2 linked regions of the Drosophila melanogaster genome follow. The gene in region 2 interacts genetically with the main gene of each other region. Each region holds a gene or a part of one and is shown on either strand. Other genes may lie near its edges.

Region 1 (3,845 bases), on a different chromosome or scaffold from region 2:
TGGCATGCGAACCGGTCTTGTTTACAAACAAATAGTACGTGAAATTATAAGTAGAGGCAGTAAGCTGATAAGAGCGCGTTACGAAACTGTTTCGAAGAAGAACAGCAGTTGGCCAGCAGCTGATAAGAAGGTGAGACAAAGAAGCAAAAATGCCACGCTGCGATAAGCGTGGCGCCTTAAATCGTAAAGTTCTTTTAACTGATGTATTTCGGTAACATAGGCTAATAGCGAATTTAAATTGGCGCCCAGTAGTATTGGGTGTTTATCGATTGACATTCAGGGCTACCTGCCTCGAGAACAGAAGAGCTATCGATAGGCAGGTTGTACAGGGATTTTTTAGTGATAAAGTAGAGTGGTTTTTTCTGCGTCTTTTTCCACGGAAGCTGTTAGTTAAATGAAAAGTAATTTAATTGCAGCAAACTGTGGCTTTAATTAAAAAGGTTTCTCTGAAGGTAAAAAGTACTTTTTCCGTTGAATGCAATTCTTCAAATGTGAACATGCTTAAGTGAAACGCGTGAAATTCCAGAGATTTGCCCATTTTGGCAATATAGGTGTTGTTGTTTTTGTGCTGCGATAGCGCTGCGCAGATCGTCTTCTTGGCTGAAAATCAACCGGATCTGGCTAGAAGGCCGCCAAGCGAGCAGAGCTTAAAGCCAAAAGACACAGATTGATCATTTCTATATGTTTTTGCAGTGTTTCACTCGCCGTGATCAGAAAACGTTGTACACCAGGTGCAACAGGTGCCGTTGTTCGCAAGTGAAAACCAGTTGAAAGCAACTAAAAAAGAAAAGCCCACAGAATGCCGCCCGTGCAGTAAGCAGAATGTTCCGCCCCACTTTCTTAACGTCCTTGTCTTCAAAACGCCCACATATTGCATCATTTGGCAGCATAATAATCATCGTTATCCATTCGCACAAATAAGCATTTCGCTAATTAATAAAAAAATATAACTAATTCAGGCTAGCAGTGCCTATCATTCATGCCCTAATCCAGCGTTAACCCTCTGCCAGTGATGGTGGTGCTTTGGACCCCCATTCAATGCAATTTTCCTGCCAGATGTTTACTCCATCGATGACGTCATGGTCATATTCAAATTTATTTTTAAACGCCGCCACTCGAGTGTGTGTGTGTGTTTGTGCGAGAGTGCGTGTCTGTGTATTGTTTACTCTTCGTATTTTTGTGTGTATTCGTCGGATTTGATTATGATGAGTGGGCCGCTGTTGTGTTGGCGGCAAACCCAATTCCAATTGGATGCTTGAATTTGTAACCCCTTTTGGAGGCCAAGGAATGTTCAATGACTCAACCAGTAATGGGGAGTTGATAGTTACATCTTATTATATATATTGTTTATATACAAACTTTTCAAATGGCGCTCCTGCTTGTAATAATTACTTCAATTACTCATTATAGCCATTCATTGTTATCCAGCTTAAAGCGAATATGATAGTTCTTCGTATATATTTTATATATGTATATATAACCTGTTCCGAAACGATATATCACCAAGCCATCACATCTGCAGCGTATCACGCTTGATATCCAACTGCCATGCGACACTCTCTGTAATGAAAGCTAAACTTCCACGGAATGCCAGAAAGCTTTTTGGCTGTGCATTCGAAGGAAATATGATTCAGACATCGTCAACAGAGCCGGCAAGCGATAAGTCTCATTGTTTTGTCCAGTTTCTCATTTCACGCCCTGCCCTAAAGTCGTTTTTCTTTGCGCTCAAGCTATAACCATGATGTACTCTAAGGCTGAAGTGTAATGGCCTCTGAATTGGTTAGTTACTTACCAACAACTGATCCTGATCTTCTTCTTAATTCACAGAGTCCAGGCAGCGAACATGTCGCTGGGTGCCATGCATTGTACGCGATGTGCCGACGGCTTCGAGCCGACTGAGAAGATTGTTAACTCCAATGGAGAACTCTGGCACACCCAGTGCTTCGTGTAAGTAAACCTCAATGTAGTTGTTTCACTAATACCCTCACTAATAAACATTTTCTAGATGTGCCCAGTGCTTCCGACCCTTCCAGGATGGGATATTCTACGAGTTCGAGGGCCGTAAGTACTGTGAACGCGACTTTCACGTGCTCTTCGCTCCCTGCTGCAACAAGTGCGGCGAGTTCGTCATCGGACGGGTCATCAAGGCCATGTCAGCTAGCTGGCATCCACAGTGCTTCCGCTGCCAATTGTGCGCCAAGGAGCTGGCTGATTGCGGATTCATCAAGAACCAGAACCGCGCCTTGTGTCACGAGTGCAATGCCAAGGTGAAGGCGGAGATTACCGGCCGCTATGTATGCCAAAAATGCCAGTAGGTTTCAAAGGCTTTAGGTGAAAACATGTTGCTAATTACTCTGCTTTTCAGCGGCCTCATCGACGAGGAGCCTTTGCGATTCCGGGGCGAAGTGTACCACGGCTATCACTTCAGTTGCACGGCCTGCGGCACAGAGTTGGATTCCACTGCTCGGGAGGTCAAGAGCCGGCCAGGATTGGCTGCTAACGATATGGTGGGTTTTTTTTTCTTTAGCAAATAAGAAGCAACTGAATTATTATTCCATTATAGAACGAACTGTATTGTCTGCGTTGTCACGATAAAATGGGCATTCCCATATGTGGTGCCTGTCGTCGTCCGATTGAGGAGAGGGTGGTAACGGCGCTCGGAAAGCACTGGCATGTGGAACATTTCGTGTGCGCCAAGTGCGAGAAACCCTTCTTGGGTCACCGACACTACGAGAAGCGGGGATTGGCCTACTGCGAGACGCACTATCATCAGCTCTTTGGCAACCTGTGCTTCGTCTGCAACCAGGTTATTGGAGGCGATGGTGAGTAACTTAATTGAACTATATTCTGGGTTTATTTAATGCGCTCATTCCATAATGCCAACAGTTTTCACTGCCTTGAACAAGGCCTGGTGTGTGCACCACTTTGCGTGCTCCGTGTGCGACACGAAGATGACACAAAAATCGAAATTCTACGAGTACGACGAGAAGCCGGTGTGCAAAAAGTGCTATGACCGATTTCCAAACGAACTCAGACGACGTCTGCGCACCGCCCACGAGATGACAATGAAAAAGAACACCTAATGCCTTGGAGCGAGTCTCAGATCCACACCAAACAGTGCCTTTGTCGTTGTAGACCCGCTTTCACTACCATTTTTAACATTTGAGAAACTAAAACCAAACAAACTAAAACCTCTTGTGCATGTCCTTTCCGTCTGTTGTAATCCGGTTGTGTGTAACTTAAATTTTAAATCGAGAATCAACGGCATCAATAGCTAGGGAACATAACATTGTGTATTAAAAGCCTTTAACGTTGTTATTTAATGGAATTTTATTTATATATAAATGTTTTTAAAATTATAAAACGTAATGCTTATTCGCAATAACTTCGTAATGTGTTTGACCCGATTTAGTTGTGGTGTCAAGTAAATGGCATTTGATGCACTTAAAATTTACAAGCTCAACAGCTTCTGAATAAGACTTCCCGATTTAATTACGGCTATATGGTTGATATATTTGATACTATCAATATGAACTGACTGATGGACCTTCAAAACCTCAGCCAGATAGGAAACCTGTGCTGCATTCGGGTTGTGCGGGAATTCTATAAAGTGTTTGTTCAAATGTTATGCTCAAGACAAATGTTTAATATCCATACCGTCAATCACGCAAAGGTTTGTGGCACAGGGAGCGGTGAAGTCTAATGGATAGCGACGGATATCCATTTCGGTTATGTCCTCTACATTCGTGTAATCGAGGTACATTACCCGGTACTTTGTCTGCTGCCGTGGAACAACTATAATCTGTTCCACTTTGCCACGATACCAGGAACCCTCAAATCTGGCA
Region 2 (5,530 bases):
GCTATGGAATTATCTCAATTCGAATTTACAAGACGTTTCCGTGCTATCATTTTGGAGAAATTTACTGAATAAATGAATTTACATTTTTGTTTGTTTTTCTGCCAGACTTTTCGTAAAAGAACATCTTTAACTCTTGTAAATAAACTCTATAAAAAATATATAAATATAAATACTAAAATATACTTTAAGGAATAAATTAAATTTGAATTGCAGATACAGTGAAGGCGAAATACGTTTACAAAATAATTAAATAACATAAATTGATAAAAAAAAAATGTATTCAATTCAAATTGACAAGTGAAAAAATGCAAAGAAACGAAACAAACTCAAAGCGAACAAAGCAGAACTATGCTTTTAGTTTTTCTCAAACATAGAAAACAAAGAACAAAAACAAAAAACATTTAACTATTAATTTAATTAAAATAAATAAAGAATTAATTAATTGACTTTAAGTAAACTAATTAATTATGATTATGAACAAATTTCTTAAAAAAGAAGAATGAATATGAGAAAAGATAATAAAAACAAGAAAAACCTACTATTTTATAAAATATACAAGCGTGTCTTTATTTAACGATTCTTTTGCGCATAGGATCCGAAATTAAACCAGCAGGAATACATATATGCATCTATTATTTTGTTTTATTTTCATTAGTGAAACTAAGGGTCAAGGCACATTGCAGAAATACGCATTAGTTTAAAAGTACTTATAAATTAGTATACGAAAACGGGTTTGGTTAACAACGAACGAGACGAACACATTTGTAATTCCATGGGATCTTGGGATCTTCTGGTGGAGAATCACTATGCGCGAATTCGAGAGGCCTTCTTGCTTTTGTCAGCTTTGGGTGGCGGCGGTCCACTGCGTCCTGCTTGCAAGTGGCGGTTGTAGATGCTGTCAAGGAAAAGGATCAGATGAATATACATTTATGGATATATGGATCTATGGTGCACTCACATCTTATAGGTCTCCGTTTTGAGGTAGTCGATGACGTGACTAATGCCCAGCAGATATTGCTCGGCGATGGGATTGACCCAGGGATTCTCCTCCATCTTCATGACCGACTTGTTGCTCAGTAGGTCCAACTGGGCGATCTCTGGTGGCAGCACCTGCAGCCTATTGTTTTGAATATGTAGCTCCCGCAGTCGCACCAAATCCCCAACTTCGCGGGGCAATTCCAGAAGATCGTTGTCACGCAATCCGAGTATCTGCAGATTCTTCAGCTGACCCACCTCCTTCGGTATATACTCGAAGTCATTGTCGCCCAGATACAGAGCACGCAGTGTCTCCATACCAAAGAAATTACCAGGCAGGACCTGTTCGTTGAGATTGTTGTAGGACAGGTCGAGCACTTCCAGCACCGGAAAGGCTCCAAAGCCGCGAGGAAGATTTATCAGCCGATTGATGGACACATTGAGGATGCGTAGCTTTGGCATGGACGACAGCGAAACGGGCAGTTCGGTCAGCTGGTTGTTCGAGAGGTTCAGGATCTCCAGATTCAGTAGGTTCGCGATTCCCGGACTGATTACGCTGATCTTGTTGTGGGACAGGGTCAAGCGCGTGATGTTGGACATGTTGACTGCAAAAAAAATTATATTAATAAGAATACTAAACTCTTTAAAATACATATTTTTCCTTTTTCGTGATATCAAAGATTGTTTTTCATAATTGTCCAATGCACTGTGAATTCACCACTGGGTTTAAATGCAAACAGCTGATTGCAGGCAACAAGTATAGACGCCGAATGTTGGAGCGGGACAACAATATAAGCAGAGGCATGCGCAATGTTTTTTTTTTCTCAAAAATTTAATGGTTTTAAGATTAATAATTGTAGTATATTCTAATTTTATGTAAATGAAGTCATAGTTATGGAGTTGTAGTACATTTCCCAGATATGTATACACATCTTATTTGCGGTATTTACAGTGTTTGTTTACGTTCTCTACACTCAAACTTATGCATATTTTGCTGCTGGCGTCATCACAATAAATAAAACTAAGCGACTCCATTTAAAAAGATGCTTAGACTCATTTTAAATGAATATTATTACCACAACATAAATACATACGCTAGAATATTATTAATTTACAATTTTTTTAGCAGCTGGGCGAGGCTCCATTCTGCGTGGAAGTAACCCACCATTATGTTTACTCAGAAGTGCAAAAATCCGTATAATTCCTTCAAGATCCTTTGGTTTTGATACTTACACAGTCCGGGCAACTCCTCGAAGGACGACAGCCCCTTGTCGGCCAAATCCAACTCGGGATTGTGAGTTTCTCGGGCTTCATCCAAAACCTTCTTTGCCTTCGACATCTTTGCGCTCACTGGTATACAAGACTGACTCATTTTCGTTGATTCCTAATACGCCCTAAAAAATACCAGAACAAAATATACATTTCTAATTAATTATTTTGAAGGTTAGTCAATAAATTTTTATTTCTAAAAGCAGAATAGTAAAAGAATTTGGCAAACTAATTCTATGCTTTTTTAAATTTTGTAAGCAATTTTTTTGTAATGTGAGCTATTATATCTGTTATATGTATTTCAGGGCTGCCAGACAAGTAGAAATATGTAATTTTACATCGACAGGAAGCAATGTAAGATATTGTAAATGACTTAATCGAATAATAAGTATTGAGCTCATTTATTAAATAATATTTATATTTATATTATTTAAAAAAAAAGATGTTCATTATTCATTTGTATCTACTTATATATGAATGTGAAATCAAAGCTCACCAAACAATTGTTGATAAAAAGGTACCAACATAAATTTTACGCGCGTTCGATGTATGTTATCATATCTACATGTAGAAAGTGTGTTTACTTGTGATTGGTAAAAACTTAATTGTAACGTGTTTTATTTATTGAATTTATAATAACATGCATTCTTTAATAATATTGATATAATTTTGTTTATTTTTACTTTGCTCGATTAATGAAATATTCAAATGTCTTAAAGGACTTAACATTATTATTATGTATTATGTTAAATTATGTATTAATTTATGTATTAAATTAAAATATAAAATATTGTTGTAAAATGTATTTATTTTTATTTTTATATATTTTTCGTGTAGTTGGTCTAAAACTAAGTAATGAACCACAATTACTTACAGAGTAATTCTAAAACTGTTTTGGCAGCCACTTTCAGTAGCTCTCAAACTGCGCCAACTGCACTTTTTGTTAGCATATGTTTTTCTTCGGTCAGTTTTCAGCACTTTTCATCCACATGAAAACGAATTTAAACGTTTTTTAGGTCACTATGTTACACAAACACTGCACTTGACCTATTTTTGTAGGAAAACACCAAGGCTTTTCATACTGTATGCGTAAAATTGTTGAGTATCTGGACGAATTCGTACTGATTTCTGCAGATTATATGGCACTCACGTTACAGAATGGAACATGGGTTCCTATTAGAATACGTCTCCGCTCTTCGAAATTAATCACGAAAATAGACCCAAAGTGCGGAATGCGTCGTGCGTCGTCCGATCGTCTCGAGAAACTGAGAAGATCTCTCGCAGCGTCAGCAAGATCGATCGATGTGGATGTGGGCGAGTTGGAGGTGATGGGGGATCCGAATAATAGCTGGGGGCTGGTTTTTGCCTTTTTCGATTGTCGCCACTGCCGGCAGACAGGAAAAAATAAAAAACAAATCGAACCCAAACTCAATACCGGGTTTTGTTGATTTTGTTTAAAGTATTTCGCTTTTTCTCCAGCATCTTCACTACAGTGTCGAAACCAGTTTGAATTATATCGAAAAGACAAAAAACAGGCATAACTAAAGCATGAAATCTGTGGTTTGTCGACTTGGAAATAGGCGCTTTGTTGATTAGTTAATTACACAGTTGATTAATATCTTAAATGCAGCCATCTCGTTGACGCATATAAGATTTTAATATGATTTATCACATCTCCATGTGAAGTGAGACATCATGACTTTTTTCGCTATATTTTACGTTCTTGCCTTACTTCTGCTGCTCACACCATATACACATGAAAGTAAACTTCGATATATTAGTGAGTAAGGACACGACTTGGGATAGTAAATATAAAGCTAACCGTTGTAATAAGCTTGCAGGCGCAAAAGTGGAAAGTGGGGACGTTGCATTATAAAACAATCGCCATGTCCTGGCATTACCCATTTAAATCGCGTTTGCAATTCGGCAGCCATTTGCTGTGTGCCTGAATCTCAAAAAGTCTGGGACAATATAAGCTATTTTAAGCGCTTAGAACCGAAAGAAAACAATATAGAAACAGTAATAATAAAGTAAGTCTGTTTCTTATTACTTAGCCACTTAAGAATTTTATACCGTTATAAACTGAAAACTGCAGTGCAATAAGAAATGAGCTTAGAGCACATTTAATAAAATATCAATTCAATATAGTCATGTTGGCTTTTACCCTTTTTAATGCATTTTAGTTTAATTTTCTTTTCTTTTTTAATAGTTTTTATTAGAACTGCAAGCTGAGACATTTCTTCAATTTTATCTATTTGATGGATGCTAGATGCAAATTTTGAAGGGACTCAGATTTCTGGGCTGCAAACATGGCCGATATGATCTCCTTCAGTACAAGCTGCTCGGGGTTTTTCTGCTCTGGCCATTGGCTGTATTTTTAATTACTCTGCGGTGCTCCAGTTGCCGATGCAGTTTTGGATCTCAGAAATACGTAGGAACTAGATGTTTGTGTGGGTGGGGGGGCAACCCCGTTTTTTGGCTTTCGTATTAATTTTCATCCCGCCGGTTGTCGAATCCGCAAAACAGAAAGTTTGTCTTATGCGCCTGCATAATTTGCGTGTTGCACATACCATTTTTTTCGCTTTTTTTTTTTTTTTTTTGGGTTGGGGTAGTTGGCATGATGGCGAGTGCCTTTGCCGTATACACTTCCGCCGTATAAAATATGCAAAACAATGCAAACTCTCGCCTGGCCAGCAAACAACAACAACAACAAGAACAACAGCAACAGCAATGGGAGGGAAATAAAAACTTTCCCTGGCCCAAAAATTAATTTTTGTTTTAGATGGCGCGCAGATTTTTCGGCTGCATTTTTGGCTGCACTGCTAATGCTGCGGCACAGTCGCCACCAAACGACCGCCGGCCACTGTCCGTAATTTTTGTTTTAATTAACTTTTTGTTTGCCTTTTTTTCCTGCTGACAAACTTTTGCAGCTCGGCGCAAATTGTGCTAATTTTGAAATGGTGGCCAAAATGTTTGGAAATACATAGTTTATGCTCAGTTCCACTCATATTAATATATGATTGCAATTAAGGCATTGTATTGTATTGTGTAGCAAAATCAAAGCCTGAGAAGTGTCCTTTGTTAGGTAATCGATTCTTTCATAAAATTATATTGAACTTTGCAGTTCGATTTTCTATGTAAAATTCTAACCGCAATAGCGACCAAAAACCATAAATTCTTCATTGCCAAGCTCGCTTAAATTCCAAATTGGACATTTGGCGGCCATAAATTCGCATTAAGTGTTTACTTCGTTTAAATGTTATCCATGCCAATGTGCGAATGTGCG

Evidence for each region.
Region 1: of ics (region 2) and stck, changing one suppresses a phenotype caused by changing the other (phenotypic suppression), as found in Drosophila melanogaster (2 studies listed by BioGRID).

The regions. Positions count from the first base shown.
Region 1 is NT_033777.3:8,356,644-8,360,488, forward strand, and holds stck (steamer duck), read left to right. Parts: upstream 1-1,684; 5' UTR 1,685-1,738; coding exon 1,739-1,761; intron 1,762-1,827; coding exon 1,828-1,947; intron 1,948-2,005; coding exon 2,006-2,311; intron 2,312-2,365; coding exon 2,366-2,507; intron 2,508-2,563; coding exon 2,564-2,822; intron 2,823-2,886; coding exon 2,887-3,083; 3' UTR 3,084-3,317; downstream 3,318-3,845. Other genes in the region: veneno, read right to left, coding at 3,452-3,603, 3,658-3,845.
Region 2 is NT_033779.5:13,638,902-13,644,431, forward strand, and holds ics (icarus), read right to left. Parts: upstream 3,702-5,530; 5' UTR 3,119-3,701; intron 2,372-3,118; exon of another isoform or gene 2,370-2,371; 5' UTR 2,348-2,369; coding exon 2,209-2,347; intron 1,581-2,208; coding exon 959-1,580; intron 896-958; coding exon 805-895; 3' UTR 546-804; downstream 1-545.